Oryza sativa Japonica Group: one gene and its partner. The protein of the gene in region 2 binds, or shares a complex with, the protein of the main gene of each other region. Links are inferred from orthologs where the notes say so. Each region holds a gene or a part of one and is shown on either strand. Other genes may lie near its edges.

Region 1 (6,768 bases), on a different chromosome or scaffold from region 2:
GATCATGGCTGTTTTTGTGGCTCAGAATCTTATAAGCGTGATAATTCTTCTGGTACTTGAGCTCTTTGGTGTGATTTCAACGGAGAAACTTACATGGAAGTTGATTAAAGTCTGGATTCCAGTGAATCTTATTTTTGTTGGGATGTTAGTAACTGGAATGTACAGGTACGTAATTCTTCGACATGATATATGACAATCGGTCCATCACCCTAAAGCTCCAATATCCAAAATCCAAATGAACTTTATTTTTATGATATTGCACAAAGTATAACAGAGCTATATATTCCTGTTTTTTCAGTTTGAAGTACATAAATGTTGCAATGGTGACGATATTAAAGAACATGACAAACATTTTGACAGCTGTTGGAGAAATATATATTTTCAGGAAGGGTCAGAACAAAAAGGTTTGGGCTGCCTTGTGTCTAATGGTATGTCCTTTTCTGCTCCACGTGCCTCTTGTTTACTTCCAAATATTAGCTAATTATGTAATTGTTGGCCTGTATTAAGAACTTTACACCTTAACAGCATAGTTGTTGAACTGAGCAGGTGCTTATCTCTGTTGTGCTATGCAGGTTATATCAGCTGTATGTGGGGGGATTACAGATCTTTCTTTCCATCCGGTTGGCTACATGTGGCAACTTTTCAATTGCTTTCTGACAGCAGGCTACTCGGTTAGTCGAATTTTCTGATCATAGTTTTTGCATCCACAGTATATTGCAACTTTGCAAGCCTCTTTACAATTAATATATTGATGAACTTCTTAGCAGATTTTTTTTGGGAAGTATTCTAATCCTTCAGTTCTCTTGTTCCTCCTACTAGTCACATGGGTTGTACATAATTTTCCTACTTCTTGTTACAGCTTACACTAAGACGTGTGATGGATGTAGCCAAACAATCAACAAAATCCGGTTCCCTCAATGAAGTTTCTATGGTGTTACTTAACAATGCGCTCTCCATACCTTTAGCACTCATTTTGATTGTTATCTTCGACGAATGGCAATACGTTTATGAAGTGTAAGAACTCAATCTTCACTCCCAACCTAACCATTCAAAAGTAATCTGCCCTAAAATTTACCAGTTATGCAAGTAACACAAAAGGACATATGAAAATCTTGCTGTACATCTACTCTGCTTCTAAACTTGGCTTCGTTTCGATAAATAAGATGTTCTGTTTTTGCTCATAAATGAAGCTTCAGCCTATTGCAATCAACTTGAATATGAAGTTAGATGATCAATGAACTTTTCGTTGTTTCCACATGTTGTTTTTTAACGGGAATACATCAGGGGAGAACCCTGATGTTAGATTTCTCCTGTAACTGTTGCTGCAAAGGCAGAATTGGTTGTTGTCCATGCTTCTCCATTTGTACTTATACACGATGTTTTCCTCTCATCTGCAGTGAAGTTACTAGAGATCCTATGTTCTGGGCTTTTGCAACAGCTAGTGGTTTGCTAGGTCTGGCAATTAGCTTCTCATCTGTGTGGTTTTTACATCGGACTGGCCCAACAACTTACAGGTGATATGATACTACTAACTCTCTTCCTTCAAGTTGCCAATAAAACATGTTTGCATTTGCATTAAAATAATATTTGCATAGTTGTCACTCCAGCAAAGTTGACTACATGTTGATATTTTTTTTTATTTGGTTTCCGTTTTCAGCCTTGTTGGTTCACTGAACAAGATACCTATTTCGGTGGCTGGTATCTTGCTTTTCAACGTACCAGTGAGTGTTGAAAATTTGTTTAGCATAATTTTTGGTGAGTACTTGCTTCATCACTGCTGAATTGCTGTCTAATTTTCTTTATGAATGTGTGTATACATAACATGTCTCCTGATTGTACTTAACAGGTCTTTTTGCTGGGATATTCTTTGCAAAGGCAAAAATGTCCTAATGTGTATTTATGACATGAAGAGGTCTCACTGCCGCTTTACCTATCAACAATTATATACTGTAAAGAGATATGGTCAATGTTCAATTGTTTTTTGGTGGATCATTCATGGGTTTTGTGCATAGTCCTTGTTCATAAGGTTACACACTTTGTGTATGCGTTCAGTTTTGGTCTATAATTGTGGTGAGGCAGAAAGCATTCTGCAAAACTAGCCACCGGTTGGAACTCTCTGCAATCTGTCTGCTCATGAAGTTGAACAGAAAAAAATTGTGCAAAATAAAAGAAAAGGCTTGGTGCTTCCAATCTGAGTCGCCAATCAAGCGGGCTCTAGGCCGGCCGGAGGGATCATGTGAAGATGAGGCTGCCAATCTTTGTGCAAAACTCTCCAGATTATTTGATTCATAGTTTCATACCAACACCTAAAGTTGCTATTTTTTTTCTTGACAGAAAAGTTCACTCCAAATTGGAGTATATGTATGTAAGATAAGAAAAAACAATGTCATCAGGTATTCAGGTTTAACCCTTTTAATCCTCCTCACACTGAATTGGAAAGAACAAGAAATGATGTAGTATACCACATTATCACGTCAAAAATCACTTTGGACCACACCTCACACGTAGGCACTAAGTTAACATACACAATCTTTTACCATATGCTTTGTGAGACAAAACACAACATGATCAGCAGGCTTAACCCTTTTAATCCATTCATCCATGTTGAGTTGAAAAGAAATAACAAATGATGTGTGTTGTATGAAGTATATAAACCACATTTTCACATAAAAAATTAATCACTTTTGAGTCACACCTCACATGTTGCTACGTATACGCAAATCATCCTCCAAATTAAGCTTGGAGTTTGAATCAAACTGTTTGATGAGGAGGAGGGTAATACATCGATCGTGTAGGCAAGCTGACGCTCTGCGTTGGAGTATATACGTACGTAGAATTCGAAAGGATTCTTCAGCCTTTCTTGGCGAAGAGGGCGCCGAGGTTGAAGCCGCCGCCGCCGCCTTCCTCGTCGGCGGCGCTCGCCGCGGGCTTCTTGGCGGGGGCCTTCCGGGAGACAGTGGAGCCGGAGGGCGGCGCGCCGTCGACCTTGTTGAGCAGCGGGTCGGTCTCGACGAGCTGGTCCTTCTTGAAGATGAAGCCGAAGATGAAGTCGGCGAGGCTCTTCTCCTCCTCCGCCGGCGCCGGCTTCCCCCTCGTGGCGCCGACCGCCATCGCCACCCGCGACGGCCGCCTCCGCCCAGCCGACGACGACGACGCCGACGGCGCCACGCCCGCCGCCGCCACTCTGCTCCCGAATCCCACCGAAGCCATGATTCTTAGCTCAGCTCTAGCTCTCTCTCACGCGACGATGATGAGAATGAGATGGGTGATGCGTCGTCTCGATCGATCGGCGGTGAGAGGGATCGCGAGGTATATGAGGTGGTGATTGGGCGGCGTGTGGTGGAGGAGAGCGGGTGTGTGAGGCGGCCACAAGCGGCTTATCCACACCACGCGTACGCCTCCATTGCCACCAACTCCACGCGCCCCGTTGCTCGCCTCGCCAAGTTGGCATCGGCGCGCGCCTCGCGTCGCGCGAGAGGCCAGCCGTTGCGCGCCGCGCGCGTCCTGTGAAATGGGTGGGAGTGGGCGTGGCACGGCAAGAGCGGCTGAAATGCACGGCGAGACGTGGCCACGAGTTGGGTTGGGCCACATCTAGTCGGAGGGGCCGGGTGTTTTGGGTCCCCTGACGGGATGGTAGGAAATATAAAGTATACTTTGACTCTCTCAACTATGATCCGAGTATGATTGTTTCCCATCTAAGCGCAAAAATGGGTGAGACGTGAGTCCACGTGCTAACTCAGCTAAGTGGATCAAGTCAACGAGCCATATCGGATGAAACCGCCCCCAAAACTCCTTTTGCACTGAGAACCGAGCGTTGCTCGGTTGGCTAGCATTGCTGGTGAGCGAGCAGCCCGTGCGGGTTCGATCCCTGGGATCATCACCCGCGCGTCTCACCGGGATTTATTCCCAAATAAATTTCCAGCTCTCCCGTGCCAACGCCACAATAATAGAGTGACGTCCTCGTCACGCACAAGGTCCTTAGGTAGCTTTGTGTATCTCATTAGCACATGTGTGTATAGTTGATAGGTCTAGCATGCGTGTAGGGGTGCGTGTGTGGAGTGTGTGTGCGTGGTGGAGTGCGTTTGCACGTATGTTCAGTTACTACAGCTTGTTCTCAAAGTGGAGAGCTCTCAAAAAAAAACTCCTTTTGCACCGGTTTCATTAGTTGGGATCGTGAAATATTCGGTTTTGTGATTGAGAGACATTAATTTGCTCTCTCGACTATGATCTGAGTATGATTCTTGCCCTCTAAACACAAAACGGGTGAGACGTAAGCCCACATGCTGACTCAGCCGAGTGGATCAAGTCAACAAGCAGCGGCAGAGACAACGTGGGGGCTGGGGGGGGGGGGTCTTTAGAACCCCCTACCCCTAATATACCATTAGAGCCCCCATAATATTCCTAAAATTCTAATCTATATATTTATACTATGTATTAGAAATATAGCCAATTTATATGAGACATGTTTCAATTTTTATTGGCCACTTTGGTTTAGCCCCGCTATAATTTTATTCTGGCTCCGCCACAGTCAACAAGCCATGTAAGATGAAACTGCCTCCAAAACTCCTTTTGCACCAGTTTCACTAATTGGAAGCATGAAATACCTGGTTTTATGGTTGGGGAACATTAATCTTACCCGGGCTATAGTTAAGGGAGACAAAATATACTTTCTGGAATGGTATTCTAAGGCCCATCTTGTCTTCCTAGTTCCTACCCTTCTGCCAGAAAGGAAAATGATGAATTTATTTTTACCCATTAATGCAATTGGGCAGCTACTGGTACGAGTGCTACCACCAAATCCCGTCCGTAATTATGAGTGATCACGGCCTGAATCATTAATTTTTTCAGACCGTAATTGAATGAATACCGGGACCGCCAACAACACTCACTCACTACTCCCCTCTCCTCCCCTCCCGACTCGACGAGGATCCTCCCGTCCCCACGTCGGCTGGCGATTTTGACTCGCCCGCCGCCGCCTGCGCCGATCTCCCTCCGACGACTGGCGGCGGCATCTTCTTCCGCCGCTGCATTGAGCACCCACGCGTGAGGCATCCTCTTTCTCATCTCTCTTTCTACACGGTCCTAACCTTTTTTTTCCCTGTTTAAATTAACCTCTGCATCTCCTCTGGATCTGGAAGCTTTTTTCTTTTTTCCTCCTTTGCCTTAACCTGTCTAGGAATAGTAGCACTTTGTTTCCCAAAAGATATAATAATCATAATAATAATAATATTGGGGAGCCCCACGTTAGGTCCGTCCCTGGCCTTTTGATGCGTATTGCGTAGAAAGTGCGTTTAAATGCAATAGTTGGGTGGGTCTATGTGTATCTTGAGGACTTTGTTATGGTATGCATTATCCATTATGGGATATTATTATTATTTTGATGATATTATTATTATTTTTTTTGTTCTAGTACTACTGATTTAATTGAATTGCTTTAGGCAAGAAATATTGGCGTTGTACTTGGAGATCTAGTGCGCTCTATGTTCTTGGGACAGTTTGTTGTGTTGTGATTTGTGATGTTCAGTTCAGCACAAGATGCTCTCTGCGAGCATTCATTAGTTAAGGGAAAATTTATGCGCATTTATTAGTTTTCTCTCTGTATAGAAGTATAGAACCCCCATAACTTTATAAATGTTCCATGAATATGTGTAGGCAGAAGTTCTCTTCACCTGTGGGATGATGTAGCAACATTTTATCTCAACTGATCCTCCATACAGTAATCTCCAAGATGGAACAGATTTCAGTGAGTTAATTCTTTCTCTTTCATTGTATTGCTCTTGCGATGAAATGTCAAAAGTAAAGATTGAGAAATATGTATCCTTTTTTGTTTTTAATAACTTTTGTAGCTTGAGCATCGGTACAAGGAGTGCAGGCCACGAAGAAATAACAGCTGTCCAACCAAAACACTTGTCGGGAAGGATCAGTTGAAGGAATTGGAGCACAGGAGACCATCACCTAGTGTGATTGCAAAACTGATGGGACTTGATGTGTTGCCACCTGCTTATGTAGCCCACAATCAGCACCAGGAATTCAAGGATGTATTCGAAGTGTCAGAGGAACCACAAGAGGCCGTCACGAAAGAGAGATCACATAATTTCCCTAAAGGGTTGCCAAGCTTGAAGCGAAGTGCATTAAAGCTAAGAAAGCTTATGCCATCAAAGTCTCCCTACGGCGATGAAACATTTGATAACAATGTAGTGAACCAAGATGGTTTTGATCGCTTGAACTCGCTAGAGATAAATAATCCTTTGTTTGAGAAGCACCCCTATGATGTGAATTGTTCCCCAAATTATCGATATGAGAAAGATAGTACTTCAAGTACTTTCAGGAAGTACCCTGTTGGTTTAGGTAACTCTTCACTTAAAGAAATTGTTGTTCTGGAGCTAGGCTTAGGGGAAGTCCAACATTCAGGTAATGCCTTTTCTACACCAGAACCCTCTGATGTCAATAAGAATTTCAGGAGAAAGATGAAGCAGGCTGAGTTTTCTACTACGAACAGGGGTTCGCAAAATCTTTTAGGCACTAAAGATATTAATGTGCCTAGAATAAAAGGAGAAAGACACTTGACTAGCAATGCTGTAGATTCACTGTTAAAGCGACAAGATTCATCACTTGATCAATATAACACAGTGGATACGGATAACACTGGATCATCTCAGAAGTGTGTTAGCAGTGAAGTTAACTCCAGAAAAAGCAACAGGTCATCATCAAATAGCTCACCCTGGAAAATCCGCCGCAAGTATGAGGAAGGTGCCATTGGTTCAAAAA
Region 2 (5,441 bases):
CGATTGAATGAATCAAACTGAAAAATCCCTAAAAAAGACCTAAAGTTAAGGATTTTTCAATGGGTAATGTTGCTCCAATACCTAACCAAAGAGCTACTGCAGTACCGATTAAAAAAACGGTTGTAGCTACTGGGCGACGAAATGGATTTTGGAATTTATTGACATTCTCTAGAAAAGGTACTGTCAATAAGCCCGTCGGCACAGAAACCATTAAGAGAACGCCCAATAACTTATTAGGTACTGTACGGAGTATTTGAAACACGGGAAAGAAGTACCACTCGGGTAATATTTCCAGAGGAGTTGCAAACGGATCCGCCGGTTCACCAATCATTGACGGCTCGAGAACCGCTAAACCTACATTACATGCAATAGTACCTAGAATTACTACTGGAAAAATATATAAAAGATCGTTGGGCCACGCGGGTTCCCCGTAATAATTATGTCCCATCCCTTTAGCTAATTTTGCTCTTAATACAGGATCGTTTAAGTCAGGTTTCTTTGTTATTGGGATAGGTGAATTCTTTAAGATCCAGCCCCCAAAGGAACCGGACATGAGAATTTTTCATCATCCGGCTCGAGCAAGAATGAAAGAAATAAAACCGTAGAAAGATCCATAATAGAATAAGGTATATAATGGCTCAATGGCTCTAAGTAAGAAAAGCTTTATCAGATTCTATTTTCCGAAGTTGCACCTACAACTATTCATTGAAAAGAATCCTACTCTTATGGGTAAATGCTCAATATCCAAGTGGGCTTACAAATTTGATCATGATCAATTGCTTTGTGGATTGTCTCGCGTCTCTTGATTAGTTGGTATTTATCCCCCCCAATATTGCAAGTTTCTTACGTCCAAACAAAGTATTTACTTGTTACTAATAAAAAATCAAAAAGTTTAGCCTACGTTCTTCCTTAGATCCCTTCTTTTACTCCGATAGTATTGCAGATCGCAATCGATGCAAAGAAAATGAATGCATTTCCATACTATAATAAAAAGTAAGTGTAATAAATAGAGAATTGGATCATGTCACATGACTTATTCATTTCTACTCTATGGGATCTTACGGAGCCTCTTCATGGATGACATGGTTGAGGTATGATCATAGAAAATATTCTCTCAAGTGAACCAGCCTATCCTTACTAGACAGGGGACTTACGTGTTGATTGGATATGGAGACACTTTGGTCGTGAATTCTAATGTGGCAGATCCAACTCTCTATCTGCATGGCCAATCAATAATTCAAGTCGCACACTCCCATAATCCGCCTTCTTTTCTTTCGTAAAATTAACTTCAATCTATTTGTATTATTTGTATCACAATAGTTCGGAGTTGAAGAGAAGTATCTAAATGACATGTCTTATTTTAGAATAACCCATGTTTGTAGCAATGAAATACCACAACCTACCCGATATGATATATGAGAATTAGAACTCTCTATGAGATGCCTTCCTTATAAAGGGCCCGAAATACCTTGCTTACGTATCATTAGAAAGTGCATTAACATAAATACGGCAGTAAGCAGAGGAAGTACAAAGGTATGTAAACTATAAAAACGAGTCAAAGTGGATTGACCCACACTAGCACTTCCACGTAATAACTCCACTAAAGGTGATCCTATTACCGGAATCGCGTCAGGCACACCTGTCACAATTTTGACTGCCCAATAACCAATTTGATCCCAAGGTAAAGAATAACCAGTTACACCAAACGATGCAGTTAATACAGCTAAAACCACACCAGTGACCCAAGTTAATTCGCGGGGTTTTTTAAACCCACCTGTGAGATACACACGAAATACGTGCAGGATCATCATTAGAACCATCATACTTGCTGACCATCGATGAACTGATCGGATTAACCAACCAAAGTTGGCCTCGGTCATTATGTATTGAACCGAGGAAAAAGCCTCTGTAACGGTTGGGCGATAGTAAAAAGTCATAGCAAAACCGGTAGCAACTTGTACTAGAAAACAAGTAAGTGTAATTCCCCCTAAACAATAAAATATGTTGACATGAGGAGGAACATATTTACTAGTTATATCATCTGCAATTGCCTGAATCTCAAGACGTTCCTCAAACCAATCATATACTTTATTGAGATAGGTAACTAACCCGAACCCCCCTCCGAGAACCGTATATGAGAATTTCATCTCGTACGGCTCAAACAGAAACACACAAATTTTCAACGGATATTAGAAAAAAGGTTCAAAACTTCATCAGCACTGGGTTGGGTCGATTTGCCTTGAAGATATGAAATAAGAAAAATCAGAATTTCTTCTTTGTGATGATAATGCCAAAAATCTCAAGTTGGCTCGTCTATCTTTCTTTCCCAAATGTTGATCATTAGGAGGCCTCTTGATTTTTCTCTTCCCTATTTTGGATTTCTTTTTTTTGTGCGTAATGCAGATTTACTCTTGTTTTACTAGATAAATAAATAAAGCAAAAATTGGAGTAGTTTTCTGGTAGAAATTATCTTGTTGCGATCCTATGAATCAGTTCAATTAAAACCTTAGATTCATACTAGAGCCACGATGATTGAGTCTCAAGCTAAACAAAAGGCAAGGGTTCTTCGAATAAGAACCGCTTGATGATCATTTATTGAATCGGTGTAATGACTCGACAAAATCGAGAGAAAAAAAGTTGTTTTTTGGGCAAACAAAATTGGAAGGAAGAAATTTTCTTTTTTTATTTTTATTAAGAACTACTTGAATTTTTTTCAGTCTGGTTGCGAGGTCTGAATAGTTAATATGAATCATAGTTTCATTTTTTTTTCTTGATCCACTCTATCTATTTCGTGTTCCAGATACTAGAATAAATAATATCCGACGAATTAGAATCATCTTGATAGAGATAACAGGTGCTTTCTATGTATTATCAATAGGAGCAAATTCTAACAAGTCACACACTCATATTCCAGAGATACCGAAACCAAAAAATTCCACGGTCGAACTACCAGAATGTCTAGAAATGTAGAGCTTAAAGTAGAAAGGCTCTTTTGGATGGAAAAACTATGACTTCGTAGTTTTCGTTAGTAGAAACCTAATTCATTAAAATTCCGTCCAGTAAAACGGAAGAATTATAAATTTCTAAAATAATAGATAGGAATACCGCGAATAAAGCCATTGCGACCCCCATAAAAGGAGTAGTCCCCCAACCCGGAGCTACTTTCCCATATTCCGAATTCAAGGGTTTCAATAAATTACCTACGCGAGTTTGTCTTGGTCCAGGTCTAGAACTATCTTCAACGGTTTGTGTAGCCATAAATTCCATTTAATGATTTGTGTTGACTTTGTATACTATTCCGTTGTAGTTGTAAATACACGATCTTTTCGTAGATCCATTGTAATCTTGAAATTCTATAAAAATGGAAACAGCAACTTTAGTCGCCATCTCCATATCTGGTTTACTTGTAAGCTTTACTGGGTATGCCTTATATACCGCGTTTGGGCAACCCTCTCAACAATTAAGAGATCCATTCGAAGAACACGGGGACTAATTGAAGTAAGAAGTCTCCCAGATGGGGAGACTTCTTACTTCAATTAAATTATTTCACTTTTTTAGTCGGAACCTTAGGTGGTTCTCGGAAGAAGATAGCGAAAAAAATTATCCCTAAAGTCGAAACTAAAAGGAACGTATAAACCAATGCTTCCATAGATTCGATCGTGGTTTATTTACAATTATAACTTCCACACCTATTCATTTGTCATTTGGGATCATTTCCCGTATAAAAAAGGAAAAAGAGTCAAAGAAGGGATGGGAGATGTTTCCCATGTCAAATCAAAAAAGAGAGGTGAAAGATACCAAAGCAATGCGGCCTCAGACTGGCTGTCTCCCTGTAGTTGGATCTCCACGTTTTTGGATTGCTCCAAATTCCACTTGAGCATCTAAGTCTGGATCAATACCAGCAAAAACATCTGCGAACAAGGTTCTAGCCCCATGCCAAATGTGTCCGAAAAAGAAGAGCAAAGCAAAGGTAGCATGACCAAAAGTGAACCAACCCCTTGGACTGCTGCGAAAAACACCATCTGATTTCAAAGTAGCCCGATCTAATTCAAAAATTTCCCCTAATTGGGAACGCCTCGCATATTTTTTTACAGTAGCAGGATCAGAATAACTTACTCCATTAAGTTCGCCACCATAGAACTCCACCGTTACGCCTACTTGTTCAACACTATATTTGGATTCTGCTCTTCTAAAAGGAACGTCCGCTCTCACAATTCCCTCTTCATCTACCAAAACAACCGGAAATGTTTCAAAAAAAGTAGGCATACGGCGTACAAAAAGTTCGCGCCCTTCTTTATCTCTAAAGATAGGATGTCCTAACCATCCAACAGCTATTCCATCCCCATTGTCCATTGAGCCTGCTCTGAATAATCCCCCCTTTGCCGGATTATTACCAATATAATCATAAAAGGCTAATTTTTCGGGAATTTTAGACCAAGCTTCTGATAAACTGAGATTTTCGGCTAACCCATCACTAACTCTTCGATATATTTCTTGCTGAAAGTATCCCTGATCCCACTGATAACGAGTAGGCCCAAACAATTCAATTGGGGTAGTTGCTGACCCATACCACATAGTTCCGGCAACTACGAAAGCTGCAAAAAAAACAGCAGCGATACTACTGGAAAGTACAGTTTCAATATTGCCCATACGTAATCCTTTGTATAGACGTTGAGGTGGACGGACACTAAGATGGAATAGGCCCGCTAATATGCCCAATGTACCCGCAGCAATATGATGAGAAGCTATTCCCCCCGGAACAAAAGGATCAAAACCTTCTGCACCCCACGCCGGATTTACAGCTTGTACTTTTCCAGTTAGTCCATAAGGATCAGACACCCATATCCCAGGACCATACAAACCAGTTACATGAAATGCGCCAAAGCCAAAGCAAGCCACCCCTGCAAGAAATAAATGAATTCCAAAGATCTTGGGCAAATCCAAAGAAGGTTTTCCCGTCCGCTCATCACAGAATATTTCGAGGTCCCAATATACCCAATGCCAGATAGCTGCCAAGAAACACAAGCCAGAAAACACAATATGCGCCCCTGCCACGCCTTCATAACTCCAAATACCCGGATTCGTTACAGTTCCTCCTGAAATACTCCAACCACCCCACGAATTGGTTATTCCTAAACGAGTCATGAAAGGAATGACGAACATACCTTGTCTCCACATTGGATCCAGAACAGGATCAGAGGGATCAAAAACCGCTAATTCGTATAAAGCCATCGAGCCAGCCCAACCAGAAACTAGAGCTGTGTGCATTATATGCACCGAAAGCAATCGACCCGGATCATTCAATACGACAGTATGAACACGATACCAAGGCAAACCCATGGAAATACCCCTTTAGCAAAGAAAAATAGACACGATGTCACTTTATTTTATCGCATTGGCAAAGACTATCCATATCCTATGTACCTAACCCTTCTAGGGGA

What was found. Proteins that work in one complex are often made in the same cells at the same time.
Region 1: the proteins of petB (region 2) and uncharacterized protein are in contact, whole or in part, in a cryo-EM structure (PDB 9ES7), measured with the Spinacia oleracea proteins. The link is inferred for Oryza sativa Japonica Group from reciprocal best matches to the Arabidopsis thaliana genes petB and AT3G47070. Residues at the interface, in NP_054964.1 of Spinacia oleracea: Pro28, His29, Pro214, Leu215; in XP_056683494.1 of Spinacia oleracea: Lys44, Asp46, Gln47, Phe48, Tyr49, Glu50, Leu55.

What each region holds. Positions count from the first base shown.
Region 1 is NC_089037.1:35,676,713-35,683,480, reverse strand, and holds uncharacterized protein, read right to left. Parts: upstream 3,285-6,768; 5' UTR 3,211-3,284; coding exon 2,851-3,210; 3' UTR 2,571-2,850; downstream 1-2,570. Other genes in the region: GDP-mannose transporter GONST1, read left to right, coding at 26-165, 299-428, 573-671, 860-1,014, 1,398-1,514, 1,658-1,755, 1,847-1,890; uncharacterized protein, read left to right, coding at 5,729-5,743, 5,847-6,768.
Region 2 is NC_001320.1:68,698-74,138, reverse strand, and holds petB (cytochrome b6), read right to left. Parts: upstream 2,908-5,441; coding exon 2,902-2,907; intron 2,091-2,901; coding exon 1,449-2,090; downstream 1-1,448. Other genes in the region: petD (cytochrome b6/f complex subunit IV), read right to left, coding at 29-503, 1,249-1,256; psbH (photosystem II protein H), read right to left, coding at 3,037-3,258; psbN (photosystem II protein N), read left to right, coding at 3,362-3,493; psbT (photosystem II protein T), read right to left, coding at 3,542-3,649; psbB (photosystem II 47 kDa protein), read right to left, coding at 3,814-5,340. UniProt on the Arabidopsis thaliana protein: Component of the cytochrome b6-f complex, which mediates electron transfer between photosystem II (PSII) and photosystem I (PSI), cyclic electron flow around PSI, and state transitions.